Oreochromis niloticus: one gene and its partners. The protein of the gene in region 1 interacts with the protein of each later gene in a pairwise test. Links are inferred from orthologs where the notes say so. Each region holds a gene or a part of one and is shown on either strand. Other genes may lie near its edges.

The links.
Region 2: the proteins of gfap (region 1) and pih1d2 interact in binary tests that used the Homo sapiens proteins (3 or more experiments, as listed by UniProt). The two-hybrid records come from large-scale screens. The link is inferred for Oreochromis niloticus from reciprocal best matches to the Homo sapiens genes GFAP and PIH1D2.
Region 3: the proteins of gfap (region 1) and pdzk1 interact in binary tests that used the Homo sapiens proteins (3 or more experiments, as listed by UniProt). The link is inferred for Oreochromis niloticus from reciprocal best matches to the Homo sapiens genes GFAP and PDZK1.

The regions. Positions count from the first base shown.
Region 1 is NC_031969.2:28,881,094-28,891,636, forward strand, and holds the start of gfap (glial fibrillary acidic protein), read left to right. Parts: upstream 1-6,439; 5' UTR 6,440-6,480; coding exon 6,481-7,001; intron 7,002-8,495; coding exon 8,496-8,556; intron 8,557-8,655; coding exon 8,656-8,751; intron 8,752-8,845; coding exon 8,846-9,007; intron 9,008-9,164; coding exon 9,165-9,290; intron 9,291-9,883; coding exon 9,884-10,104; intron 10,105-10,190; coding exon 10,191-10,234; intron 10,235-10,448; coding exon 10,449-10,531; intron 10,532-10,543.
Region 2 is NC_031979.2:26,670,845-26,680,510, forward strand, and holds pih1d2 (PIH1 domain-containing protein 2), read left to right. Parts: upstream 1-5,238; 5' UTR 5,239-5,503; coding exon 5,504-5,686; intron 5,687-7,295; coding exon 7,296-7,422; intron 7,423-7,494; coding exon 7,495-7,734; intron 7,735-7,884; coding exon 7,885-8,156; intron 8,157-8,301; coding exon 8,302-8,436; 3' UTR 8,437-8,658; downstream 8,659-9,666. Other genes in the region: tmprss5 (transmembrane protease serine 5), read left to right, coding at 1,180-1,293, 1,662-1,803, 2,024-2,137, 2,245-2,288, 2,453-2,615, 2,750-2,934, 3,842-3,940, 4,073-4,215 and 2 more; dixdc1a (dixin-A), read right to left, coding at 9,393-9,476.
Region 3 is NC_031987.2:19,835,562-19,845,509, reverse strand, and holds pdzk1 (Na(+)/H(+) exchange regulatory cofactor NHE-RF3), read left to right. Parts: upstream 1-4,139; 5' UTR 4,140-4,232; intron 4,233-5,151; 5' UTR 5,152-5,154; coding exon 5,155-5,361; intron 5,362-5,476; coding exon 5,477-5,690; intron 5,691-6,472; coding exon 6,473-6,805; intron 6,806-6,889; coding exon 6,890-7,086; intron 7,087-7,166; coding exon 7,167-7,391; intron 7,392-7,474; coding exon 7,475-7,804; intron 7,805-8,530; coding exon 8,531-8,584; 3' UTR 8,585-9,031; downstream 9,032-9,948. UniProt on the Homo sapiens protein: A scaffold protein that connects plasma membrane proteins and regulatory components, regulating their surface expression in epithelial cells apical domains.

The DNA of each region.
Region 1 (10,543 bases):
AAACGAACTCAGGCTGCCTGGTTTTTGTTCCAGTGCAGAAAAATGTTTCCACACATCCTTAGCTATACATTCTGAAGGCAGTATTACCTGACAGGTTATGGAAATTTTGCATGATTGGCCATACTGTTTTGACTCATCTAGGAGACCCATGAATGAAACCTTTAGGGGTTTAACTTACAAAAGAAATTTCTAGGAATATTTCTCTGTGAACTAAGTGTTATTAAAGCATAATTAAGTGGTGTGTGAGCCAAAGACAAACAGGATCAGAGCCAGCGCTGAATGTCAGAGTTCGCTGTTCAACCCAGACGACGACTTTGTTTATCCCAGGGTTCAGACGAGTCCAGTATTAAATGATTTTTCTGGGCAATAAGCTTGCTACTGCCTTAACTGTAATAGAAAACAATTTCTGTGGGGCTGCTACATGCTAAAGGCAGCTAAAATGTGTTTTAGGTAATGCAGTTTTAAAGAAATTAAGGACCCTAGGATGATCAAATGAATACAGACTAGCTGGTAGAAATCAATATATGTAAATGTATTATATGTATCATGACAAGACTTGCAGTGCAAAGTCTAATGTATCAAATTTATTTTACAGCAAGAAAAGAATAGTATGTTATATATAAATATATACTGTATATATGTCCTTCCCTGTCTCAAAAACAAATAAATAGTTTTTAAATATGTTGTCTAATTGTTATCAGTGTATTTATATGCGTGGGAGGACGAGCCTGTCCAAACCCAGTGAGTCCTGTAAATGAAGGGACACAGGAGACTGAGCTCATTGTTGGCAATAAGAAGCTACTTGATTGATGCACTCGTTTTTCTTTTCTCTCCCTCCCTCGCTCTGTTTCTTCCTCTCTTTTGGCTCTTTCACTCCTCTCATGAGGGAAAACAGGAGGCAGACACAGGAAGAGGAGATTTCTACAGGCCGTGTCCGCCTGTGAGATGGATAAACAGACTGTATCGAACAAAGGGTCTTTTTTTTTCGTGAACTGGTGTCATATAGACATTCCCTTACTTTTGACAGGCTTTGTTTTTATTGTCTTTTCACTCTTTTTTTTTTTCTTTGAGAATGGCGTTATAGTGTAGAGTGAGATTTTAGGGTAAATGACAGCTTTCTTTTCTTTTGTTTCAACAGTAATCACTTTACCACAAATGTGCTGCATAGATTATCCATAAAGAAACCATTATCATTGGTTTTAATTGGTTCAAAACTTGTCAAAACTTTTTGTCAAAACACATCCTGTAGTATTCTCATCCTATCAAAATACTTTGCTAAACTAATGACATCTCTGTCTGCTATATAACTTAGAAACTAGTATTTGCAACATGTTAAACATGGAGAATGAGGCCTCTAAATATCTGAAGGTTAGGATTATTACTGTGAGCTGATGATGTTAACACTTATCTGACAAAATCTCTAGCGTGCCCTCTCTTTCTTGGTTTTAATGAGGCTATAAATTCTGACATGTTAATGATTTTCTGACCTGAGTATAATCAAGTGAAGCTTGGGTTGTTATCTGAGTGCCATCCTCATTATGTGATGTGTAGGGTAAGCAGAGCTATCTGTGTGTATTTGGGCCCCCAGCATTCCTGCTGACAGGCAGACTGGAGCTTGGGCTCTAAACCCCGTCTCTCTGACGTCTTCTTTGTGGCTACGCTCTGTTTGGACCTAGTGGTGCTGAGTCATATTGCTGTTCGGTCTGTCCCAGTTAAGCCCCCCTGATTTTCATTAAAACCCTTTTCCCACAAGGCCTTGCAGCTTCAGTAGAACCCAAGCATTCAGCTGTGTTGTTTTTAACTGTCAAGTCTCCATCGGCACCAGCCGACAGTCAGTACCAGCAGTGGAAGAGTGCTCAGATCCTTTGTTTATTGCACAAGAACAGGTGTTTTCATTTATTTTCCCCAATTAGTCCTCAATTTTTTTTTGTTGGGCGAGACTGTTATGGAAGTAATCGAAGTATGAAAACCTTCCCGCCGTTGAAGGTGAATGAAGCAAATAGGAGATTCAGACAGACAGGCACGCGCCACACACTCCTTAGATGGGATCTAATTAAGCAGATAAATTAAAGGAGCTCAGTGCCCCTGTATTATATGTGACCAGTAGCGAAAATTGGAAGTAGGTTTAAGAATTTTATATGCTTTTAATATTGAACTTATAACAGGATGTTTTTATATATAGGAAAAAACAATTTTTGTATAATGGCAGAAAATGAAATCTACTTATTTTCCCTCCACAAGTCTCAGTTAATCAGCCAAGAGCACTGCACACCAGGTAAATGTAAAGATATGGTAGGCTCATACTAATCTCATGTACAATGATTTCTCTCAAGAAAGAAAAGGAGTAAAATGAAAACTATACTACACCATGAGGATCAGTTTACAGACAGGAAATACACCTAGTTTTAGGCATAAATAAAACCTGCATTCAATTATGTTGTTGTTTTTTAATATTCCTAACAATATCAGTGTCCTAGATATGTTGGCTCAACTATGCAGGAATTATGCAAAGTCACTAAAAAGTATAATTTGTCCAGACCAAACAAGTACAGCAGGGGTGTGAGGGACACAATCAAGCACTCTCCCCACCTGCGTAGTCGTTGGAGGATGCAAGTCTCATGTTCACAAGAATTGATGCAGATAGGTTAAATTCATCTTGTTTAATTTGTTGCAGGACATCATTTTGTGGGTGTAACACCTTTTTTTTTTTAAACCCAAAGCAGCTAGTTTTGATTAAGGCCTACCCCTTAATTTACACCCTGTCTGTCCTTGATGTAGTGATGAAGGTGGGGCTGAGACAGTCGTATTTCCAGCTTGTTGGTCAGGATTCAGTTTGGTATGTGGCCATGTACATTCAGACATCAGCCAGGTTGAAGAATGGTAGCTGAGAGGTTCACACTGGGGTTTCTGGATGCAAAATGCCAGAGCAGTCAAACTTAGCTGGCTGCGATTTTATCTTGGCCTGAGATCATTTCAGTTTTAAGATTCTGCCCCACACCCCTTCTTCTTGTAATTCCTGCAGATAAGATGGTCTTCTTGTGCTGGATCTATGAATCAGCTGTTTGACTTGCAGCAGGGAGCAAAGAGAAGGAGAGGTCTGCAGCACCACTTTTACTCTCTTTCTGCCTGGATGTTTAATCATCAGGACATATTACCTCAGTGACCAGAACTCAGGCAACGGTGGTGATTGCCGGAAAAATTCAGAGGGGCGAAACAATTACTGTCACCTTAATGATGCAAGCATGCTATTACTCCTTAGAGATGGAGCCTTTTTAATCAACAAATCTCTGCCAGACTTACAGTGTGCCATCTTGTTTAACCTGCTTTAAGAGAGACCAATTAGAATTCAAGACAGTGTGCTGTTGTTTTTCTTCTTTACTAGCAACAACACTCAGAGGCCAAATAGTAAAGTCCTAGGGCCTTTATTCACTGTCTCCCACTGAATAAAGGCACTATGATTGGTCTACAGTCCCTGTGATTTTATGGCCTAGTAACAAAGAAATCCTTTATGAACCACTGCTGTTGTGGTTTTTACTACCTTCAGCAGTTAAATGTGCTACTGCCAGTTTGATCTTCCTAACACCAAACAAAAACAGAATTGATATTTTTGCTGGAATTTAACCAATTACTGGTACTTTTTTTTTTTTTTTTACCATGTTGCAACTGTTTTTTGGGGGGAATTTGCAGAGCCAGAATGTAGAACTAAACAAAAGGCAAGCCTTTATAGAGGTTGATCAAGGTTCCAAATGTGATACAAAAAGTCCAAAGAACTAGGAAATGCCAGGAAACATGAGGACACAAGAGCAGGACACACACTGAGGATTACACAAATGACACCAGAACAAAGAACAGAAGGAAGAGTGAGGTTTCTATAAACCCAGAAGGCTGATTAGGGATAAAGCACAGGTGGCAGAATCAAACAAAGGTGAAGAACAAAAACTTGCATGACCAAACATGGATACAAAAGACTTATGTGAAATATATAAAATATAAATTAAAGATAGTGAGAAGGGAACACCTGAGGACAAAGACATGAACACAGAAAGAGGAGATAGAGAAAAGAAAGAAACTTGCTACACAGTTACCGTTGCTTTTCTCATTAAAATTACTTAGGGTTATTTACTGTATCTTGTCAGCAACACAAAACCAATATTACTCATAGTTTTTTTTCCAGCAGTATTTTCCCAAACTTTTAGTACTTTTGTGTCTTTTTGAGCTCTGTTTTCAATAACATTATTGTCATGCCAAAATACTCTGTTCTTGACATGAGGGATATATTCTTGCAGAAGGAAATGGGCACTTGGTCAAAATCTCACTTCCATAAATCACATCTTCTTCAAAAAGATCAGCTGAGGTGGTCTGAGGTAGCCAGCTCTGTGGTTGTCAAGGTAATGGATGATAATGGTTTTGCAATGCAGACTCTGTTAGTCCTCATAGAGTTCAGATTAAAAGGCTTTACTCACCAACTCCCTTCCTCCCCACATCTCACCACCTGACCCCACTCATCTCTGCCATCCATCTGTCTTTGGAACCAGCAAGACATCTAATAACCAGACACAGTGAACATCTCCAAGGGAAGTGTTTTTCTTCTTTCTATTGAAAGTGTGCATGTACTGCAGTATATCTATCTATCTGTCTATCTGTCTATCTATCTATCTATCTATCTATTTATTTATTTAATTAAAAGCTCCAAAGCACTTGAAAATGCTTTGAGATGAAGTGTTATAGATTAATATTTAATGGCATATATAATGAAAACCCTGGGTCATAAATAATCAGGTGCCATCTTATCTTAATAGTACCATAAGGTACTATTAAGGTACTATAAGGTGAGATACCTTATCTTACCTTATAGTACCGTATCACACTATTACAGCACTTCGCTCTCGCACTGCAGACTTACTTGTTGTTCCTAGAGTATTTAAAAGTAGAATGGGAGACAGAGCCTTCAGTTTTCAGGCCCCTCTTCTGTGGAACCAGCTTCCAGTTTGGATTCAGGAGACAGACACTATCTCTACTTTTAAGATTAGGCTTAAAACTTTCCTTTTTGCTAAAGCATGTAGTTAGGGCTGGACCAGGTGACCCTGAATCCTCCCTTAGTTATGCTGCAATAGGTGTAGGCTGCCGGGGATTCCCATGATGCATTGAGTATTTCTTCTTCAGTCACCTTTCTCACTCACTATGTATTAATAGTAGTGCTGTCAGCGTTAATCTCGTTAAAATGACCGCATTAACACGTTAGCGAGTTAGCGCGGATCGCCCCGTGCGTGGGGCTGCATGGCGCTAATGCATTAACAAGCTAACCGCCGTAACGCGTTGACGCCATGCTGGCCCACGCACGGGGCGATCCGTGCTAACTCGCTAATGGAGATTTGCCACAGCATGTCTTTTATCCCGTCTTCCTTCTTTCTTCCCAACCGGTCGCAGCAGATGGCCCCGCCCCTCCCTGAGCCTGGTTCTGCCAGAGGTTTTCTTCCTGTTAAAAGGGAGTTTTTCCTTCCCGCTGTCACCAAAATACTTGTTCATAGGGGGTCATATGATTGTTGGGATTGTTATTGTAGGGTCTATCTTACAATAGAAAGCACCTTGAGGCAGCTGTTGTTGTGATTTGGTGCTATATAAATAAAATTGAATTGAAACTGAATTGAATATACTTTGTTGAAAATGTATTTTCTCCAGTCTGGGTAATATGAACTTTTTCATCATACTTTAATTTTCATTACTGAATAAGCACATTTTATAATAAATATTCCCATTAAGGATGAGTTAACGAATAATGTTATGCCCTTTGTTATATAACTGCTGCCCTAAACTGTGATCCAAAGAGGAGTGACAACAGCTCTTAGATTCTCTCCACACAACTGACCCTGTGAAATCATTTGACCCTAGTCTCAAATGATTTCACAGGCTTTTGTTGTGCACACTTCCAATACACTCAGCAATGTTTTTAATATACTAATCTTTCTTTGTATCTGTACCTGCTCCACCTGCCGATCTGAAGTTATTTTCTGATTAGAGAGCGAAGATCTCTCCCCAGCACCCTTTTGTTTGATCAAACTGTGTTTCTGTTTTTGTGAGAGCGCATGTGTGGTCAGCTTGAATTGGTGGCCAGACCCTGTCACACAAATTCCTTTTCATTCAGCTCAAACAGAAAGAAAGAGAGGAAGACAAAAAAGGGTGAAAGTAAGAGTGAGAGAGAGAGTGAGTTAGAGGCTGGGGAGAAGGGAGGAGAAAGGGGGAGAGGGAGAAAGCCAAGAGACATTTGTAGTTGAGTGGACGAGCACAGACAATCCCTGGCGCACAGCTTTTTGAGTGTCATGTAAACCACCCCTTCGCTCTCCCTTTTTGTCCCATTCACTGCCTGCCACCCTCCCTTCTCTCTGCCCCACCCTGTGGTCTCTCTGCTTTGGTCTTGGGGGGGTTGGTTGCCTGGCTGTATAAAAGCCCTGTTTGTGCCCAGAGCGAGCTCCATTCCCCAACATGGAGAGTCAGAGAGTCCAGTCCTCATACAGGAAGCGTTTTGGGCCCCAGAGCTCGAGCAGCTCTGGAGTCAGAATTGGTGGCCTTTCTTCTAGCCGCCTCTCCTGGCATGGCACCCCTCGCAATGTCACCCACTCCAGTCCCGTGTCGCGGATCTCCCTGGGCTCAAGCAGCACAGCCCTGCTGCTGGGGAGCCCTGTTGATCGGCTGGACTTCTCAGCTGACTCTCTGTTGAAGGCCCAGTACAAGGAAACACGAACTAACGAGAAGATGGAGATGATGGGCCTGAATGATCGCTTTGCCAGTTACATAGAGAAGGTGCGCCTGCTGGAGCAGCAGAATAAGGTGCTGGTGGCAGAGCTGAACCAGCTGAAGGGGAAGGAGCCAAGCCGACTGGGAGACATCTACCAGGAGGAGCTCAGGGAGCTACGACGACAAGTCGATGGTCTCACCAACAACAAGGCTCGAATGGAGATCGAGAGGGATAACCTGGCTGCAGATGTGGCTGCACTTAAGCAGAAGTAAGAGGTAGCAGGGCAGGACTTCTGTGGGTGGAGGATCATGTAGGTGTGATGCATGATCCCACAGTAGTACCACCCATTTGTATCTCTTTTAGAGATTGCATATGTATGTATAAGAATAATGAAAGAAATGCAAAGGGTTATTTTTTAGAGTTATGTACTGAATTTCAATTTCATATTTCATTTTTCAGTTAGTGTACAGATGTTTTGGACCCTTGTTTATGTTAAACCTTACCATGTTCTTGATTAAAGCATAGTAGAACCTGAAACACACTCTGAAAAACATATTTGGACTGTGAAAGAAATGCCCACAAAGTGTGTTTTCTAGACAAATGCTTTTGGTTAGCTGGTCTTTGATAGGAAAACACATTCAGCTGGAGTAGATTTTATGTATTTTGGCACAAAATAAGACAAACTCTTTCCAGTGGAAAGTTTTTTTTTCTTAGTTTTCTTTTATAATTGCCAGTTCATTTATATGCAGATTTCAGACCCGCTGGAATGCAGCCCACTGTGCTCTGCCCCAGCTTTACTCCTGGATCCCTCTTTACAAACTTGAACCCCTTGTCCCCATTGAGTGAGTGCGAAGGAATGAGGGAAACACAATGGTAGCCCAACACAAAGGGAACGGCCAGCCGGGCAGATGTTCACTAGTCCCCTGTTACTCCAAAATACTGATTCACTGCCATTGCATATGCATCTTTTTTAAAACTTTAGATGCATATGTGGCATGAATCTATACTTTAATCTTGTGAATGAGTGACTTGAAGCCTCTAAAGGTTCGAAAGGTCTCTCTCACACTATATCCTCCGATTACCACGCAGCTGCTGGTCCTCTAAAAGAATGCAGCATGAATAGTGATGATTCTGGTCAGAGGTCACTTTTGTGATTCATGCTGCTCTTCTTGAAGCCCTCTTTTCAGCAATCGCTCCATGAAGCCATACAGATGCTTAGAGTTCCATGTCACTGTGTGCATGGCAGATGGATTGTAGGGTGGTGCCTATCTGTGCACGAGGCTGTGCGTACGTGCGTCCTTTTTATGTCTGTGTGTGTGTGCTCCATCCCGTGGGAAAGGCCTCTGGCTGCTAGATTGGAGTGAATGTGTAATGATGCGTAAGCTGCCCTTTCAGCTGAGCCCCGCACATCCCCAGCAGCATGGGGAGCAGCAGTAAAGCTGATATCACGAATCTAATCGATGTGCGTGTGCGTGTTTTTAGTCCTTGCAGACGATACTCTGTTAGACATAAATGAGAAACTGTAAAAAAAAATGTAAAAATCCTTTCATGCTTGTTTCCTTTTTGCTGAGATGTGAAGGAGTTGACAAAAAAGGCTCATGCACAACAAGTTAACTCAAAATAAATGGTGTGTTTATGATTTTTGTCTATAAAAGTATTTTGCACAACAAAAACTGGAAAGACTGGATGTTCTGTTAACCTAAAAAAACCAAATTTGAGTAATTTTTTTAATTTGGTTATTTTTCTCCTTTGTGTGACTTAGACTGCAAGATGAAATTGGGCTCCGACAGGATGCAGAAAATAATCTAAATGGCTTCAGACAGGTAATTCTGTTCCCTGAAATCATCAACTAAATAATTTAGACATTCGGTATGACTGACTATCCAACTTCATCCCTCTGTGTGCTTCATTTTTTTTCATAGGATGTGGATGAGGCGTCTTTAAATCGTGTCCAGCTGGAGAGGAAGATTGATGCCCTGCAGGATGAGATAAACTTCTTGAAGAAAATTCATGAGGAGGTAAGAAAACAACTGAAGGAATAGAAGTCACGGAAATATTAAGGCACCAATAATTGCCACTAACCACAATCAAATTTGGATTTCCTCCTTGCAGGAACTGCGTGAGTTACAGGAGCAGATCATGGCCCAGCAGGTCCATGTTGATCTGGATGTGTCTAAACCAGACCTGACTGCTGCTCTCAGAGACATCAGGGTCCAATATGAAAACATGGCAAGTTCAAATATGCAGGAGACTGAGGAATGGTATCGATCCAAGGTGAGAAGAATTAGCTGTCGGACATAAAACACTTATTGTATAAAGTGAAAATGTGTGAAAATTTAAAAGAAATGCACAAAGATAAAGATAATGTTTCACAGCTAATAAGCTAATACACACACCACATACAAACGAGCTGTTTCATCTTTGTACACAGTTTGCTGACCTGACAGATGCAGCCAATAGAAACGCAGAAGCCCTCCGCCAGGCCAAGCAGGAAGCCAACGAATATCGTCGTCAGATCCAAGTGGTCACCTGTGACCTGGAGGCTCTTCGTGGCACAGTGAGTACACCAGATCACGCAGATTACACAGACATTTTGAATTCACAAATTACACTGCTGTCAGATGGACTTATGGCAAACACACACTTTTTTAAAATAGTTTGTTAGAACTGTAATTTAACAACAAGTGTGGAGCTGAAGCACAACTCAGAAACTCGTGCATAGTCTGGTCTTGAATTGAGATTGTGTGATAGGCCTAACCAATCAAGAACAATCAGTTTCTCCTCTTTGTCTTCTACCTGAACTCAAAGTAGCCTATTAAATCTTTTGTTTTGTTAATCCTGCATCTGTATTCTTGACTTTAAACTCTATAAATTGGAACTTTTTGAGTACTACCAGTCTTAGTGGTATGAAAAAAGCAGCTCATATAGACCAGAAACAGCAGTGGTAGATGCTGTAGAAGGAGTAAATGCAAAAGTTGTATTAGCAGGATTAGCAACAGAGACAGATCGTAATACTAGTGTAAAATTTTGCATTAGCAACTTATCTAGGAACAACATTAAACAAAATCTTACTTATCTACATTAAATCCTGGTGAACAGAATTTTCTCTTTCACTCCATTTATTATGTGGTCTTCTCTCTTTTATTTAAGAATGAGTCACTGGAACGCCAGCTCCGGGAAATGGAGGAGCGCTGTGCCATGGAAACAGCCGGATACCAGGATACTGTGAGCCGACTGGAGGAGGAAATCCAGGCACTGAAAGAGGAGATGGCAAGGCACCTGCAGGAGTACCAGGATCTCCTCAATGTCAAACTGGCTCTGGATATTGAGATTGCCACATACAGGAAGCTCCTGGAGGGAGAGGAGAGCAGGTGAGTTAGAGCTTGTCTGGTCAGATTTAACACAAGCAATAAATCAAAGTATGTGATACTGATTTTTTTGGTCACTTTTCTTCCAGGATCACGATTCCAGTTCAAAGCTTTTCCAACATGCAGTTTAGAGGTCAGTTTAAATTTTGAACCATGGTATTTTGTTCCCTTGACTGATTAAATTGTTTTTGCTGTAGAACACCAGCAGTTAAACTGGACAGTATTTATTGGTTGAAAAGAGATTAATCCCGTACCTGTACTCTAAACCAAATGTGAACAGAGGATAGTGTTTCAGCAGGTTTGGTCAGAGCTAATATCCTCTCTCTCTCCCCGTGTTTTTCCCTTAGAAACTAACTTGGACACTAAAACTCCTGAGGCCCATGTGAAGAGAAGCATCCTGGTTCGAACTGTGGAGACCAGGGATGGGGAGGTATGTGGATGA
Region 2 (9,666 bases), on another chromosome or scaffold:
TGCTGGCATTTTAGCTGTGCATTGATGTGCATTGGTCCCTCTCCTCTTTAGCTCAGAGGAAAATGGTTTTTAGAAACAATCTCAGATTTTTAATTAGTCAGACTACAAAAGAGTTTTCCACAGAATTTGCCTCAGTCCATCTCGAATGAGCTCGGGCCCAGAGAACCGTGAGGCATTCATCTTTTAACTTGTAGTTGCAGATACCCGAGTGTTACTGAGCCCATTCACTGAGTTTTATTTTAACCAGCTTTTAATGCAGTTCAAGCAACTCAAGATTGTTTTTGTTTAACCCTTTTCCATACATTTATTTAGATTCTCTGAATTTTAATGATATTATGTGCAGCAGATACCTCATTCCTCAAGTCCTTAGCAGTTTTAGACTGAGAATCATTACACTGAAGCTGTTGTGAACCCGTCTCTCTTCTTCTGAAAGAGTCAGCCTCTCTGGAATGCTCTTTTATCCCCAATCATGTTACTCATTAAACTAATCAGCTGTGAGATCTTCCTCTCCAGTTTCTTTTTTCTTATCTAGTCTTCCACAACTTTTCCAGGGTTTTGTTGCTCTCATCAGAACTTTTAAAATCAAAGTGAGAATATATTTTAAGAAAACGTAAACTTTTCACGTCTTTGTACAGCTAGTAGTTAAACACACATTTTTATTGTTTGGCAAATCATTGCATTGAAATGATATTTCCCTAAATCAGGCTTCTGGTGTAAGCAAACTGATACTTTTAAAAATAAGGACCTCTTGGATTTAATGGACTGTCAAACAATTTTAATGGACAACATGAAAAATGTATTATTCATTGTTTGTGTTTTTGGAGCCTTACTTTAATCACCAGCTAAAAATCAGGGCAATGTTGGGCTCAGCTGCCCCAATTTAGATTTTTTATTTACTGCATTGAAGTTTCCCAAATTTGATGGAAACACGCGACAACATTCAAGTTAAGATAGAGAAAATTTTGAAAAATGAATCTGTTTTTTAATTAGCTGTTTTCTAATTAGCTGGATTTGCAGATAGAAATGAACAATATTTAATGACATTTTATTGCTGTCTCAGACGCTGGTCCGTTTTGGGTTCTCATTCAGATAATCTGGTAATATTAGGAAAAATCAACAACGTTTTGCTGCCCATTTTGCAGCCTGATTAAAAGATTATCTCTTTTAATCCACTTTTAGTCAAACTTTTGCTGAGGCCATCGTCCTCCCAAAGCCCAGTGGGGCTTGGGGATACAAAGGAGACATCCTTCTGCAATGTGACGGAGGATATTTCCGCATCGGACTCGCGGAAAGGTCTGTGTTTACTCCCTCGTGGTAGCGTTTCTTTCACTGTTTTATGAATTATAATGCAGCACGTTAATGCGTGGCTGCTTAGCTTATTGTATATACTTCATTATATCAGGTCATGGGTCACCTCTGAAGTGTTTCTTAATTGAATAGTAACAAAAATTAAAATTCAGCAGCTGCTACTTGTTGTCTTCTCTTCACTCCTGAGAGATGCCCATTGACCGACATGAAAACATCACACATAATGATCTGTTTCTACTGACTACATTAGCATAGATACTTGTGTTTTTCCTAATCATTTCCCACTCATAGAAGAGGCTTGATCATTAACGTTGACTGAGAGCTTGTCTCTGGAGGGATTTTCAATCAATCAGGTTCAGTGTTTTACAGAATCAGTCCTGAGAACTCCCTCCTGGAGATCCAGCTGGGGAAGCTGCCCACCTGGCTTCCAGTATGCTATGAGAGGTGGAACTCTTCGCTGGGAACACTGGTCTGCAGACAGCTGGGTTATCTGAGGTGATGCTTTTTCGCAGTCCTGCGAGGATCACACACTGCTTCTTTATAGCACCATTTAAAAAAGCTGAGAGCCCATTCTCAAACTTGGTTTAATTTTAGGCTGAAGGCTCACCTTATTTATGATCTATTAATACCTCATTTATAATCTTGCTTCACACCTCATGAGACTAAATTATCTCAATACTCGCTCCCACCCATTTTTCAAATGTTCCCTTACCAGACTGACCAAGCATAAAGGAGTGAACCTTACTGATATCGGGCCAAACTACACTGACGGCTTCATACAAATTACCTCAGAACAAAAGAGCAGCCTGGAAAATATGTGGCAGTTCAGGTAAGGCAATCTGTCAGAGGACATCACACTCATAATGGTGCAGGGAAAATTGCGTCCGCTAATACATTAATTATGCATCATTAGTTACCCAATTTATTTTCATTTAGGAGGAGTTGTATCACAGGGAAGGTTATCGCTTTGCAGTGTTTTGGTGAGCAAATTAAACTTAACTTTTAATTTGAGTTTGCGCCTCGCACAGAGGCCAGTAGTGTTTTTGTACAAAAGCTTTATATCAGAGCAGGATGAATGATGGCGTCTGCTGCTGCTCTTTCTGACCAACCCAATTTCGTTTCGTTTTGATGAATGGATCTTTAGAGTGTGGCACACGAGCAAAGCTACCCAGGATAATCGGGGGCGTGGAGGCCGCGCTGGGCAGGTGGCCCTGGCAGGTCAGCCTTTACTACAGCAACCGTCACACCTGCGGAGGCTCCATCATCACCAGTCAATGGGTAGTCACAGCTGCCCACTGTGTACACAAGTAAGACTGCTGACCTGACAAGTACTAAAGGTCAGAGGTTGCAGCCACGATGAAGGATAATAATCAGTCATTAACAGCTGTACCAGTGTAGCAGTATCAGTATCTACTCTCTCTTTTCTTTTCCCAAATGTCAGCTACAGGCTACCTCAGATATCCAGCTGGGTGGTCTATGCTGGCATTGTGACCCGCAGCTCTGCTAAAACGGCTCAGCATGCAGGCTACGCGGTGGAGAAGATCATCTACAACAAGAACTACAACCACAGGACCCACGACAGCGATATAGCACTGATGAAGCTGCGGACCCCGTTCAATTTCTCAGGTCAGTCTCATCGCAGCACTTAAAAAAAAAAAAAAAAAAAAAGTACTTTGGCTTCAGTTTACCTTTTCATATGCTAATAACAATTTATCATAAACAATATAAGTGCTATTGCTATGCTAATTTTTCTAATCATAACAAGTGATATACACTTCAAATGAAAAGGCTCCCAATATCTTTAACATCTCACAGAATCAGCTGTTAAGATTCACACATAAGCTTACAGTCTCAGCAACAATTAAAGCACCGCCTCCAGATGTTTTGAGACGTTGAAATTTATTCTCCTTCCTGGCTCCTGAGGGATCTTTGGGTCTGTCTTTGTAATTTTGTTTCTTCTTTACCTCACAACATAAGGAGCCTTGAAATGACTATTGTTTTGAATTCACATAAATAAAAATGAACCGAATTACAGATGTAGCTTCCAAAGGACAGAATACATGAATATGCAAATACTGTACAGTGTAAAAAAAACAAAACACAAAAAACCAGGCCATCATATAGAATCCAATGAGAGAGACACAGGGCTATTTTTGTACACAATGCATTTTATGTAGATTCGGTTATATTTAAGTTATTCTGTGAGTTTGTATGGCTGCTACCTTTTTGTTTGCTCTGATCTCAGTGGGAGACAACTTTCTTTATGTTGTATACAGGACCACAGTTGGCTTCTCTATCATAAAAGCTTCCTTGTTTTTCAGCTGTGATTTGATATGAGCGTAGAGACTAAAGAGAAAACAGCTTTCTCATGACAAACACTGAAGTCTAAACGTGGTAAAACACGTCTCAGTGAAGGGTGGTTTTATAACACTTCTTAACATGACTTATGAATCCAACCATATTTGCAGTACAACTTAATGTCTCTTGTAACTATTTAAATGTATTAAGAGGCAAAATTCCTCCTTTTAACTAGACACAATCAGGCCCATCTGCCTGCCTCAGTACGACTATGCCCTTCCAGGAGGAACACAGTGCTGGATTTCTGGATGGGGATACACGCAACCCGACGGGGGTAAGATGTTACTACACTGCTCTGCTCTTAAACAAATGCATCTCTGCTACAAATCTAATCCATACTCAAATGGTGACAGAGTGAGCCAAGTGTGTTAGTGGAGCAGTCCTAAATTGAAACTTTCACCCGTAGTTCATTCACCCGACACCCTGAAAGAGGCGCCAGTCCCAATAATAAGCACAAAGAAATGTAACAGCTCCTGCATGTACAATGGAGAGATCACAGCACGGATGCTATGTGCCGGCTACACAGAGGGAAAAGTGGACGCATGTCAGGTCAGAGGCTTGTTTTGACCACTAGATTTAGCTTCTCTTTTATGAGTAGCTGTAGTGAGCAGTGTTTGGGCCTACCTCTCCAGGGGGACAGTGGGGGCCCTCTGGTTTGCCAGGATGACAACGTATGGAGGCTGGTGGGGGTCGTCAGCTGGGGAACAGGGTGTGCTGAGCCCAATCATCCTGGAGTTTACACCAAAGTGGCCAAATTCTTGGGATGGATCTACGAGATGATAGAGGTAAACAGCATTTTTTAATTCTACAGTGAACAATAACTAACTATTTACAGGACAGCACAGAGGTTTAGTATCATTCGATACTTCTTTATTGAGCTCGATAGTTAAAAAATACACGCAAAACACATGATCAGCTTAATTATAATTTCATTATATATATATATTTTTAAAAAGTTAGCTCCACTTTTGCCAGTTTTAAAACATTATGTTGAGAGAAATGCATCAAAGTAAGCCTGTGAAATAGGTCATTTGTTTTTGTAGAAGTACCCTGCTGATAACAACTCTTTGAACGGAGGATATTTACATATCATGGAATACTTTTTTACAGGGATAATACTTTTACTTATCTAAAATATTACAATAAATTCTTATATCACTACACTGCAGAAAGCGCTAATTAGTTTCATCCATGCCGCTATTTGAATTTTTTCTTTTTTTGTATTTTCAGCCGGATTGAGATGGAAACTGTAAAACAGAACAGCGATTTCTAATATTAATTCTTTCCTTATTTTTGCAGAATTACTGAGGAGGGCTCATGACAACAAAAGGAAGGAAGCTTCTGATGAAACTGGTGGAAACGTTAGAAAACTACAGTTATACATGATACTTTTTATTTTACGTGTCAGTTATATAATGTACACATAAAGACAGACTGAAAACATCAACATGCATTTTTACGTTATGTTTTTCATGTATTGAAAATAAATTATGCTTCTTATTGTCATGTGTGGTTTCTGAGCCGCAGTTCCGCATCTCACCGCCTGGTGGCAACAGTGTTACGTTTCATATAGTTTCTATGGCAACTGACAACATTGGCCTAGCTAGTGTTAGCGATTACAACTAATGAGCTACAGAACGTAATTAGTTGTTTTGTTTTGTTTTGGTTTGGTTTTTTTAAATATTTGTGTGATACTGCTCCATATTTGTCGGATATTTAAGGTGTTTCTATAACACATGCTCCTCTATGACACTGCTGACCGGCTGGTTTTCTGACGCACAAACTTTTTCTGCTAACTAGCTAGAGTTGGTAATAAAAGTACGACAGTTACCTTAACATGTGCTCCACTGGCAGTACAGAGGATGTTTTGCAGCAGATGAGCAAACTGTGGTCCATGCTGGATGATCTCTCTGAAAATGACCCTGCAGCCTACCGTACGCTTATAGAGAAACAGTTGAAGGAAGGAGCTGAATTCAGAGCACCGCCCGAGCTGGACTCCTGCCTCTGCACTGAAATACTGGTGAGTTTCATTCGTGAAGGCTCCTTCCTGTGTAGGCCCCACTCCATACAGGTGTTACTCAGCACATTCTTTGGTTCAGCTAGAAAGGAAGCCCACCTTTATTCCTCCAAAACATAAATAAATATATACTCTAAATTCAAACACAAATTAGGGAAAGTTAACTTTAATAGCAGAAAATTTAGGATACAGCTCAGTACCCATCATCAAAAAAATTTTTTTTTTTTTAAATGATTCAGTGTCTCAGGTCCTGTCATTGGTACAAGGAATTACATTACAGAAGAATTTGGATTGGGAACAGCACTTACTCTGCAAAAGGCTCACCCAAGTAATGCAGGCATCTGATGGTGGAGGAGAGGGACTGCCAGGAATCGACTCAATGTGCAACAGCAGTCCTCTAACCTTAACAAGGCTGCTGAATGATGTGGGAAGGCATAAAACGAAGAAAAATCAAATGTAGTGAGCTATGGAATATGAAAACAAAACAGCCCACATATGATGTTCTGCTCACTCCAGCAGTGTGTCCCTTGTATGCAACCCTCAAACACATCCGGGTGGGCTGCAAAAGCAGTCTAACACATGGAGGATATAGTTGGTGACATAACCAACTAACTTGTCTGTAGCTATTAGTCAGGAGAGTATAGACTAACTGCAACTCATTAGAAGTTAAAGCCACCTTTCTGCAACAAACAACCTTCATCTGGGAAGGTGAGAAACAGCATGTCAAGCCCTATCTTCCTGAAATATACCTTTACACTTGAAATCAACCTGCACCCAGGTCTGGTTCTCTGGTCCAGTTCCTGCCAGTCTGTCTTCACTGTAGAACTGATTGTCCCTTGGGAGGATGCAATCAATAAGGCATATGACAAGAAGAAAGCATGAGCAAGCTGAGAGAGAGGACCAAGGCTGGAAAGTGGAGGTCCATTCAGTGGAAGTGGGCTGTAGGGGCTTCGCAGCCAGCTCCACAGTAAGACTGACGAAGGAAGTAGGCATCAGGAAGGGCAGCCTAATACAAGTTAATCAAAAAGCTTGCCACTGTTGCCAAAAGAAAGTAGTCACAGGGGCTGGCTGAAGCAGAAGGAGACAGTGTGGCCTGCCAAATTACTGGTGGGTGCCATGTGAAATACACCCAGGTCTGATCAGCCTGTGGTGGGTCTGCTTTGGCTAAGGGCATCTTGTGAGAAATTATGGAAATGCACTATGAAGCTGGGGTACAAAGCTGATGATGTGTCGCGCTGATGGATACATACCCATATGGTCAGCAGCAAACACCCCATCTAGATGGCTTCTCCAACCCACTCAGTTCTGTGTTATACTGACAGGGATTATAACTTCTAGCCCTATTAATTAGTATAGTCCATTACAAGCTGTGAAAGCTTTGTCATCACATTTCTTGTTTTTATCCAACCAAGAGTAAAGTAATAACCTAAAAATATTTCTGCTGAGGAGCTGTAAGCTGTGCTTGCTTTATATATCCTAAAATACACAGGCTGCATGAGAAACACAGACTTTTACTTCACTCTGCAAAGATGCTAGACTTTTATCCACTTAGAACTTTGAAATTGAGTTTGTTTTGACAGATCCTTTTGATAGCACTGTGTTTCTGTGACAGAAACCAAAGAAAGGCCTGCTGTACATCAACATATGCAGCTGGAAATGTGTGCCTGCGCCTCAGGATCCCAGCAGGCTTTTACCAGTGTACACTGGAAAACTGGAAACAGGCACAAATGAAGATCAAGGTGTGTCAAGCTGCAGACCTGCCATTTGTATTACATGACACAAGCAAGAAAGTCATACTTTTTCCTTTACAGGCTGGTATACTGTGCTGGATGTGGCATTAAATCCTGTGTTGCTGCAGGAAAGTAGGGAGAACAAAGCAGAGATTAACCAGGTCTATATGCTGGCCCTGAGCTTTGCCCAGAAGCAGCTTGGGATGACGTTATCGCAGGAGTACAGAGTTGTCAACAGTAGCCCAAATAGTAGCCCAGATGAGTTGCACCGCCGGCTTGGATTTCAGAAGTTGTCCAGTGCCCCCAAACAACCCGACACAGGTAATGCAATAAGTCTGTCAACCCTGACAAGCTTTGATAAGCACTTTATGTTGAACCCGTGCTCTTTACCCACTCTCCTTTCACCTCCTAAAACAATTTTCCTGATAATCCATAGTCCTTTTTTTTTTTTTTTTTTTTTTTTTTTTACAGCTGGTCAGACACCAGCTGCCCTCCTGCAGCACATCTCCTCCCTACAATCAGAAAACCAAGAGGACTCTGCTCCTCAAATTATCTGTAGGCCTGCAGAGAAAATAAAGAAGGATTTGATCCAGGTCATCTCAGCCGCTTCTGTGGGGCCTCAGAAGCCAGAGTATCGACTCGAGGTGAAGACTGATGCAGCAGGAGTTCCTGACAGCGTGGAACTGATGGTGGAGCTGCCAATGGTTTGCTCCATGTCAGAGTGCCAGCTGAGCGTGTCCAAGGTTAGTGGTTACACACTCCCTTGAACAGTTATAACGAAGCACTTTAGAATCCAGTGTGTGTCAGTGTGTAGCTGGATGTCATAAGAAATACATAATCGACCTGTAGCGAGCCTTAGTAGCACACTGGATGTATTTTTCTCTGCAGGATGACGTCTTACTGGAGGTGGAGGATCTTTACTATTTGCTTGTGGACTTCCCGAAAACTGTAAACGAAGACACCGCGTCTGCCATCTTTAATAAGAAGAAAAGAAGACTTACATTGAAAGTGAATGTGCTGTGACCATCATCCTTAATTAAGAAGCAAATGTGCAGTGTTTGTTAAGCTAGCTAAACACTGGCATTGAAAATGCCTCAAACAAAAACAACAAAACTCCTGTTGTGCAATGTACAAATAAAAAAAAGAAAAGAAAAAAGCACTGAGAGCGCATTGTGCTGTGGAGGGACCCGTATTCTGCCTCAGAATTCAAGTTAACTAACAATAAACAGCTTGCGTGTAAATTGATCCATTTCCAAGAGCAACATGTTTGTGAAACAAATATGTAACAGTGTCCCTTTGTGCTGTGTGGGCTGAGGCTCAGCAGCAAATTTAATTCTAACCCCCCTCCTCAAAATTAATTGACTTTAATGACAATCTGTGGATTTTGTTTATTAATGTGTGGGCGCGTGAGTGGAGGTGTATAATGGCTACGAGCTGGTGTCATTACCGTATGCAGGGGGGAATAATTGACAACAAAACGATCCATGCAATAATTTATGTTTATTAAAACATCAAAATTGATGCAGAACAACAACATCACTGTTTGGCAATCTGGAACACGTGGAAAATGTCAGTAAACACTTCTTTCTTTTTTTTGGAGGTTTGCATACTATGCACTGATTACAGCTTTTTAAAGCACAGCGTAGCTTGTTATTTCATGTAAAGCTAACGTTATTTTATTATTCAAGTATGACTTTACTGACCATTACGTGGTAGTCCCACAAACTTATTTATGAGCTGCAAACAATGTGCGACATGCGGTCCATAAACGAAAAAAAATTGTATCCAAATGTTTAGATTCTTCATATGAAACATTCACTTTTAAAACATGGTTTTGTACCTTAATGGTGTTAGCTCCATTGGTCCCAGTTATGTATCGTAACACTATTCTTTCTTATGGCATCAGAAGTATTTTCAGTAGCTTCCTGGTCCAGTGGGAACAGCTGAGGTTTGTAGTGACAATCTCTAGTTTTTGGGCTCTATCTCCGCTCTCCGTGATCCTCCTCAACCCACGCTACAATCTTCCCCTCCCAGCCAGGGACAACGGCTCCATCCTGAAACACCTGAAAAGCCAGCATCCAGTGTTTACATATCTGAGAGACCCGTATCTGTAATATACTATAAAAGGTTTGGATAGAGAGTAAAAATGAATACTTGAGGTTATCCAATTCTTTGGGATGGAAATAAGTCTCCCCATGGTGTTCTGAAGTGCACAGTAGGCACAGCTATTATCAGCATATCTTACTCTATAAC
Region 3 (9,948 bases), on another chromosome or scaffold:
ACTTTGTCACAGTTTACTGTAGAAGAGGTGGAAGGTATTGAATACACATAATTCAGTTTATTGTTAAAGGTAAGTGCTCTAGAGTAACATTCAACGGGATGGCTCTAGCATTGCACCAACAATTATATCCATACAGTAAAAGCGTGGAGTGATGTGATTCACATTTCTGTGAAGTGCTGAAGGATGGTAATGGATATCCATACATCTTTCCACCAGCAGGTCTGCACATCAGTCAATATACATTACTGTTGTTGGTGGTAATGCGCTATAAAAGGTAGCAGTGTGCCAAAAAAAGGAGGAAAATTATATTGGGGGGAGGGAGACTAATGCAAGCTCAAAGCAGTGACGAAAAGGGTTTTCAACCAGATGTGCTTGATAGATGTTGGATGCATAGGTTATGTTATAGTGAAGATGTAGTAAGGTGGAAATGAGACCTTGTATTTTCTTCTTCTTTTTTTTTTAAAGGGATACACACCTTTGTGGATGTTACCTGGCAAGATATTTGGATCTCATACATGTGTGGAAGTTTTAATATCACCTTGCAAGTGTGACTCAGGATTTCTTTCTGCATTTATGCAAATTCAATAAATATATCTAGAGATTTTTTTAGAAGATGAACTTGCCAGAGGCAGTTTGGTTCTGTGCATACAAATTAATGTAATTTGGGGACTCTAAAGTAATTATTTCCTTTCAGCATGACATACACAAGGTAACTCTCAGTGTGTATGCACATAGTAATAAAATAAAAACAAAATTATACATAGATAATAAGTCAAATAAAATAATACATTGTTAAGTAAAAATCTGAACATGTCAGGACATCATTTGCATAAAGCGCTGCTATAAAAGTTCCTGTGTTATATTGCGCAGTCTCATCATTGGCAGTCCACAGCACTCATATTTGTTTTGACCGTCTACTCAGTGCAGAAATAATTTCTGTTCAAAGACATGGAGAGGAACTGCAAATTAAACTCTACTTTGTGGCCTCGTCAGAGGCCTTGAGAAAGAGAGGACACTACCAGAACCGAATTCTGAGTAGCAGTAACAATAAAACATTTAAAAAGATATTGACAACAAAATCTTGCTGCAGGCACCAGTTTGGTAATGAATAAAACTTTTCTTTTGCAGGCCTTGGTTGTCACCTTTGTGCCATTGTATAACTGCTTTTTACATCCAGAGTTACGACCAGGTTAACAACAAACATTAAAACTTAACTGCGACCAATCCTATCTTGAATTTTTTTACACCACGAAGATCTTTACTAAAAAAATAAATGACCCCCTTTAGTCCACTTTGTTAGAAGACTAGTGAAGTCAACATTTTATCCTTACCATTTTAAGTAATGACATGGAAAAGAGGTACAGAGGGGAATTTCTAACCAGTGGTGACACTAAGGTGGAATTTGTGAAGCTGTTTTTTGGAAAGTGAGACCAATTAACCCCTGGGTCTCAGACTCTTAAAGAATCAATGAATGCTAGTGAGAGCAAACTTCCTGGACACATTATTTTATACAAGTATCTATGCTGACAGAATGGATAGCTAGTCCAGTGTTGTTCTGTCCCTTCATTAAGGTACTGTGCAACAGTCTTGGCCCATAATTTCTTAATATTTTGCTTCCAGTGAGCCGGATGTATTAAAAAGATTTTATAGTGGCTTGATCAACAGTTGTCCAAGTTTTTCTTTGGACATTGGCTGCTTTCCATTTCTTTCATTGAATCTATGAAAAAAAATGTTTGATAGGATAAAATACTATTTTTGCACCAACAAGGTAATTCCCATAGAGGTATTACCTAAAAACTTGGTATATTTCAGTATGGTGTGCAGTGTGTCCTTAAAAAATTTGAGGAAATTGGACACTGGGCTAAAAAACTATCTGCAGCAGATAACAATATTTGAAAGTCATGTGTCTATGAAACAGAAAACCATCAAAGCGAAGACCTAACAAAGGACTTGAGACCTTCAGTTGATCCACATACTGTTCAATGAAGCCTCACCAAAAATTATCTCAGTGGCTGTCAAGAAGGAATTATTGAGGAAAAAGCTGAGGTATGCCAAATTACATAACAAATGAACTGTAAACAGCTCGAATAAGGGTTAATGGAGTGATGACTCCAAATTTTAAATTCTTGATTTTTAATCACCATCAGTATTTACAGAAGAGGTCAGGAGAGAGGAACAAAGGCGAGTGACTGCAGTAAAAACACATTAGAGGCCCATAGTGTTGGGGATGTTGTCAAAATTGACGGATTTACGAACACAGAAAAATACCTTTAGATTTTGATTGACCATGAAATACCATTTGAATAACAACAGCCACATTTTTCAGTATGACAGTGATCCCAAACACACTAACATTGCAGTATAAGCGTACCTAGATAGAAAAGCCCTGTCTGTTTAGCATTATATACTGTATTTTCTTTTGTGATTCATTAAATCACTAGATCTAGTTTACATTTTCCTAGAAAAAAAAGGAAGTGTTGCTCAAGACATTTGTGCAGCACTGCATGTCTCAAGAGACACCATATCATCACAATAAAACCATTAGAATTAGATTTGAACATTATGACCTTGAGGGTGGAGTTTATGACACATTTGTTGAATGAGACTGGATTGAATGTGCCATAATGCAAACACTGCAGCTTTGAGGTGTGTAAATGTAAGAGAAACACCCACATGGGTAATTATCAGGGACGTGTATTGATAAGAACTTAGCAATTCCGATTTCATTGTCCATATTTATATATTCTGCTCCTTATCAGTTCTTTTATTGATTCTCATTGGCTTCTCATTTGCTCCACTTTGAGAGTCATTGCCATCCCTAAGCACCATATCAAAGACATTACATTCATGCAAATTAATTGCATACAAGTGTCTGTGCCTGTTGTAGGTATTTCCCCTATTTGTTGTGATCAGTGTTGGGATCATTACTCATAAAAAGTAATGTATTGCACAAATTACACATAACACAATAATTAAAAGTAATGCAGTACAACTTAATTACTCCCAGGGGAAAGTAATTTTTTACACTATTAAGTAACTTTCATGTTACTCATTAAAATGACCTGAAACTCATTGTTTCATAAATACTACTTAACAAAATATAATCCTGTAGGCTCCAGTCCCAACCTTTCCTAATGAGGACACACGTGGGATCTTTCGCTTTCTTAATATTTAGGTATGAACACAAAGCTGACAGCATAAAGCAAGGATGAAAATCAGCACAAAAAGACTTTAAAGCGATCATCATAGTGATTCTACGTTAGAAACATGAACAGAAAGGTAAGCTTCAGCCTGATTGCTCATCACTGGCTTTGTAACCTGTTGAAGTTCAAGGTCTGGCTGCTGGGATGGGGCCGGCATTCACTCAGCTTTAACATCACTCTGGGTTCTTGGCTAACTTAGCGTTAGCATACTGTTTGCGCAGGTGCTTGCAAAGAGCAGAAGTTGTGTTCTGTCCTGGATGCAGTTTGCACTTAAACACTGGGCTCTCCTCCTTTTGTCCAATAAACTATAAACAAAATGTTCATATCCACACTGTAGAAACTGTAAAAACGAATTTCCTCCTCCAGCACACAAACTGAAATTAGCTGATTAGCACAAGTGCAAATGAAACCAATAAGTGGGCTCGATAGGCGGGCAAACTCAGAAATCAAAGTAACTGAACAACTGGGAACAGGTTCTCCACAAGAACCAGCTCCTGATCCTCATCTCTAATGATTATATTTACATTACATGAACTGGCTTTTTAAGTACTACTGCATGCAAATTTATTGACCTTTTTGCTAGAATAACACAATTTAGGTCATTCTTTGTCAAGTTTTAATAAGTACGCCATCATTTTTTTCATTCAAGTAAAAATTAAATTATGCAATTAAATTGTGCATTTTTGTAGTCATTTCACAATACTGTGTTAGTGATTAAAACTCGAATTTCACAATGCTGTAATAACTGTGTGCTGCAAGGATTGTACATTGTTTTTTTTGCCACCTGCATTTTGTACCTTTGACCGGTAAACAGCTGACTGCCCACCTTGTAATGCCTCTGCAGAAATTTGTGAGCCTAGAAACTGTTAAATAACTCAGCCTTTAGGCTAACCTTTGGCCTGTCAAAGTCCCTGAAGGGGGAAGGAAAAGGGGCGGGAAGGAGGAGGTAGACAGGAGATACATAGATAACAGCTAAACAGTAACAGGTGAGCTCTCCTTCGAGATTCAGACGCCAGGAGAGACAGGCTGGTGAGTATATTATAAACACTCAACTACGCTGTATGTAATTTTGTGTAGTTAGTTAAAATTTTTCAATGTCACATTCAAAACTAGATCTATGCTATCTTATAAATTCATTTTAAGAATAATGGAAAATGTTGTCTTGTCTTGAGGATGAGTGTTTCTTCAGGGTGAGCTGTGTTGCTTGTGTTATAGTAAACTGTTATAAGTCATTATTGAGATTATAGACATAAATTTGTTATTATTTGGATACCGGATCTATAAACAGTGTAATCTTTAAGATGCTAAACTCATATGGTTCGAATATTGCATTCAGTGAAAACATAAATTCTATACACTTAAATTTAGGACAGGTAAAAACATTTCTTTTAAAAGTAAAGGTATAAGGAATACAAACAAAAAAATTATTCTAACCTGCCTGCTTAAATAAAGTCGTTGTTTTTAGCCATTTTTCGTTTATTCAGCCATACAAAAGGCTAAATAAATCAGCCAGTACATGTGCACACACAGAGTGACAAGAACTTTATGACCTTCCTGTATGGGAATAACAATCCAGCAAGAATTGCAGCAGAAGTTCTTATTGTGCATTCAAAGTCCAAGCTGCTTTTTTATGGAGAGTCATCACCACTGTAACCTCTTCTTCTATTAACCATTAACTTCTGTTGCAGACCCAGCATGAAAGGTTAACTGTAAGATTATTGATCTGAAGCAACTCTCCTACTGGTCCTTGAGGTCCAGTAGTAGTTTCTACTCTACTTATATATTTAAAAGACCAGCGGCAGTAACAACGGGGAGGGTGGCGGGGGGCGGGAGGCGTTAAAAAAAAAAGATATGCCTGTAAGTTAAGCATTAGTAGTGACAGGTGTATTTAATGTTATGACTTTACCACTGTGATTGCCATGTGTGTGCTTTTCACCTTTTTTGTTAGGACATGGCTGGGTACAAGCCACGGGTGATTACCCTATCCAAGAAACCAAAACAGACATTCGGCTTCTATCTGAGGGTGGAGAATGGCGAGGAGGGTCACCTGATCCGCTGCTTGGAAATGGGAGGTCCAGCTGAGCTGGCTGGCATGAAAGACGGAGACCGCATCCTCCGGGTCAATGGAACATTTGTCGATGAACGTTCGCATTCTGAAGTGAGCAGGATGTAGAAATACTGCAGTGCATTAATCAAATCAATAACAACTCTTAGACCAGTTCTGCTGTGACAAGCATCTTTTCTTAGAGTCTTCTTCTTTTTTTCCTGGACAGGTGGTGGACCTGGTGAAAAACAGTGGAACCTCTGTCACGTTCCACATTCTAGATGAATCCTCCTACAAGCAAGCAAAAGCCCAGGGAGTAAACCTTTCCAGCCCTGGAAGCAAGCCAGTTGCCAATGGAGTGGAAAAACATCGTCCAAAACCCAAACTCTGCTACCTGGTTAAGTCCAGCTCAAGCTTTGGGTTTTCTATTCGCTCAGTTGAAGGTAAGGAGAGGATGCAGGGACTCCCAATTCTGAGTAAGTGTTAGAATAAAAAAGGCCATAGGAGTACTATTTATAGTGATAAAAGCCATTTGACGCTGGACAGTGGAAGTTTAGATTTGCTAAACTGGAATGGCTTAACTTTGGAAGTACCCATTTATATGACACTTACAGTGGTTCATAAGTTCCAGCTAAAAGCGTATTTATTTGCTAATAGAGCATTTCCTAATGCCTCATATGTATAGTCGCCAATAAGGCTTGAAGATAGTGGCTAAAACCAGAAATAATCATGATAGTGTTGAAGGGAGCTTAAGTATCATTACAGACTTTTGTCCAGCTATCCATTTTATTCCACTTATCCAATTCAGACTGTGCATGAGCCTATCCCTGCTGTCATCAGGCAAGAGGATTCACCCTGGTGCGGACAACAGTCTGTTATATTCCAGTCACAGAAATAGTTAGACAACCGTGCTCATTCATTACAGACTTTTATGTGATTTGCTTTTGGAGTCACCTTCCAGCATGAAGATTTAAAGACCTTTGCAAAGATTTCACTTGTCAGACCCGGACGTTATGTCTAACTTGTTGCAGTGTTTTCTTTGCACTTATCTTTGAAAGGTATTTCAGTAGTAATAGATACAAAAAGATATTATCACAAATTAAAATTAGGATTTTGGTTAAACTTCAAAAGGGATGACTTTTTTCTTTTTAGTCTGTAGAGAACTATCGAGAAAACTGTTCAATTAAGTTTAAAAAATGTCCTTTTTTTTTATCATCATGTCTAGGTGAGCATGGACTTTTCATGACAGAAGTGACCCCAGGAGGCACAGCTGAAAGGGCAGGGGTCAGACTCAATGACCGTCTGGTGGAGATCAACGGGGAAAACGTAGAAAACATCACACACGATGGAGCAGTGGACAAAATTAGACGGGCAGGCAGCCATATCATGTTCCTACTGGTCGACAAAGAAACAGACAAGTTCTATCAGAAGACTCATGCAAAGATTGGCTCGTGGTTAGCCACAACAAAGTACCTCCCTCGAGAACCACGCATCATCAACATAACCAAAGGATCTGATGGATACGGCTTCACCCTTAGAGAGGAGCCCAGTCAAGCAGGCATGGTTATAATGACTATATTTTGTAGATTACACTGTCCAAAGAAGGCTACATTTTAATAATGTGCTCCATGACTCCATGCAGGACACTTCATCAGGGACATAGAGAGAGGCAGTTCAGCAGAAAAAGCGCATCTGAAGGAAAAGGACAGGCTGGTGGCTGTGGATGGCAGAGATGTGGAGAGCTGCAGCCACGAGGAGGTGGTAGACAGGATCAAGCAGAGTGGCAACAAATGTTGCCTCCTAGTAGTGGACAAAGACACAGACCAAGTGTATAAGCTGGTGAGCCAGGGCGCCAACATCTTGTCTGTTAAGTAATCCCTGCAGGTGGTCTAAATTATATCATGTTGTATCATTCACAGGGGAAAGTTTCTCCTCTGCTTTTCATGGAGGAGATGAATGATTCCAACTCACCACCCAGTTACACAGAAGCTGTTAACTTACCCATTCCCACACGATCAAGCACGCCTGCTCCAGAGAGGAAAGAGGAACTCAGGCCTAAACTGTGTAAACTGGAGAAGACCTCAGATGGCTTTGGCTTTCATCTAAATAGCATCCAGGGAGTGTGCGGCCATTACCTCCAAAATGTAAGGCTTCTAAATAATGTCCACAATTTGACCATTGCCACTTTAAGCACAACTGATAAGTGATAAGACACACTGTGTTCCAGGTGGTGAAGGGTGGAGTAGCTGACAAGGTAGGCATGGAGAATGATGACATTGTGGTTGAGGTGAACGGGGTGAATGTAGAGCAAAGCCATCATGATGACGTGGTGAAGATTATCCAAGGCAGTGGGAATTATCTGGAGATGTTGGTGGCTAAAAGGAGCGTCTATGATAAGCTCAAAGCTCAAGGAGTGCCTATCACACGCCAGCTCCTCGGGGAAACATCTTACGCTCAAGTCCACAGTGCAAAAACTCCAGAAGCCAGCAAGAGGGAGAGACTGGAGGAAGAGGAGGAAGCAAGACCTACAACCCCGACTGAACCAGAAAGACAGAGGGTGAGAAGTGGTTTTTAATTGTTTCAAAAACATTATAGCATATGCTGGTGTGTCAAAAACATTCATATTCCCCAGAGAATAAATTATAATGACTCTGATGAGCTTCTGGGTTTCCTTTTAGTGCCACAGTGAGGTTTACAAGGTTTGGTGTAAATAACTCGATGACTGGATGAGAGGAAACTTGTTCAGACATCCATCTTTTCCTCAGAATTCAATTCAGTTTTATTTATAAAGCACTAAACAACAGTCGCCTCGAGGCACTGTAAGGTAAAGACTACAATAATACAGAGAAATGCCCAACAATAAAACAAACCCCTATGAGCAAGCATTTGGCAAAGATGTGAAGAAAAAAACTTCCTTTTAACAGGAAGAAACATCTAGCAGAACCAGGCTCGGGGAATGGCAGCCATCTGCTGCAAGGAAGACAAGACAAAGAATGAACTGTAACATTTATCTGACACTGCTGATGACCAAATGCCTATAAAAATACGTCATTCCCATCATCGTCAGCTGTACTCTGCGGCTGCTGTTTGCATGCTAACACACCAAACTAAGATCAGGAGCATAGTAAACATTAAATCTGCTCATACTACAACCGTTGGTTATAGTATTTTCATTTGCTTGATAAAATACCTCTCATCCCCTTTTCTCAATCATCCCTGAACTAAAAACATACAGGAAAAAAGCTCATTGTCCTTAATAATGTCTGTGTTTTCTCTTATTTAGAACTCATCCGTGTCATCATCTTCGTCTGCAGAAAGCATTGATGAGAGAATGTGAGGAGCAACGTGAAGGACCCCTCTCCTGATTTGGCCTAATTTGATGTTGATCTGTTTCTTTTTCTTCTGTTTATTTTAACCAGTCAGCTTGGCTTCTCACAAAGACTTAATATCAAAAGATTTTTTTTTTAAGTTGACAGAAACAATAGAACAAGGACAGTGAAGACTTCAAACTTACTGTCAAAATCTGATTCATCGCAGAGTAGCTGCTTCAACTGTATGACATGACTGAGAACAAAAGCATCTTTGTGAATATTGAGAAATTTCAGGAACGTTTGCCCAACGTTTTGATGAGTGTGTTTGCCGAGATGAGTAATATCCTTCCTACTATGACTAGCACAGCACCGAGAATGAACACAATATTAATACTGCCAGTAAACACTGCGACCTTTTATGTATTCTTTTTTTCTCCTGCTTTTAATAAATGTTCGAAATGTTTAAAATTTTATTTGCTCTCTGATTTATAAATACATGAAACGTTTTTGAAACATGAATAAACAAACGTGTCATCTAAAAAAAAAAGACCAACTTCATGAATATCTTTTTGTTGGCAGCTAAAAACGGCATATTTGTCAAAACTTACAGCCACTTCAGAATGTGGGTCACAAGTGGCATTTTCATCTTTTCTTAAAAAAAAAAAGATCCAAGGACGGAGGCAGCTTGTGTCATCTGAGAAGATTGTGGCCTCACATGGTTATTAACAGTGGATGTATACCGATAAAAGAAAATGATTTGTGCACACTCTGTGATTAGAGGAATGGGAGACCATAGAGTTTGACCCCAGTGGAGCGAGAGGTTCTGGTAGACGACCATAAAAGCAGCAAAAACAACAAGTGAGGGATCTAAAATTATATGTCATAAAAAATCCTTCTACTGCTGAAATGAAATCATTTAAATGTGCTTTGATACTAAAATATGAGGAAAAAACAAACCCAAGTTAAAGCACAGTATAAAGGTAAAGATATTTAAGTGTCAAATATATGTGTGTGTCCACTCTCCGGTTAATGAGCTTTTCAAATATTCCCTAATATTCTGATCAGGTAAGCTGCACACCAAGGAGCTGAAACAAAAAAAGGAAAAAACAAAAATTCAAATGGGTAAATGCTAACCTACTTTCAAAGCAAATGTGAAAAGGCTAAATTAATAAAATATATATATTCAACCGAGAGAAGATCAGCTGGGTCTGACTTGAACCCAGCTGGAAAAGTCAGCCTGTCCACCAAAATATTTATCAGCTGATTTTCAAGAGTATAGCAGGTGGCCTTCTCTTCTTTGAAACACTGGCACGTTCCATCAGTGATTTTTATTTTTAAAAGTTAACTCACTGGATATTCTTGTTATTGCATATTCAAAAATATTTTCTTC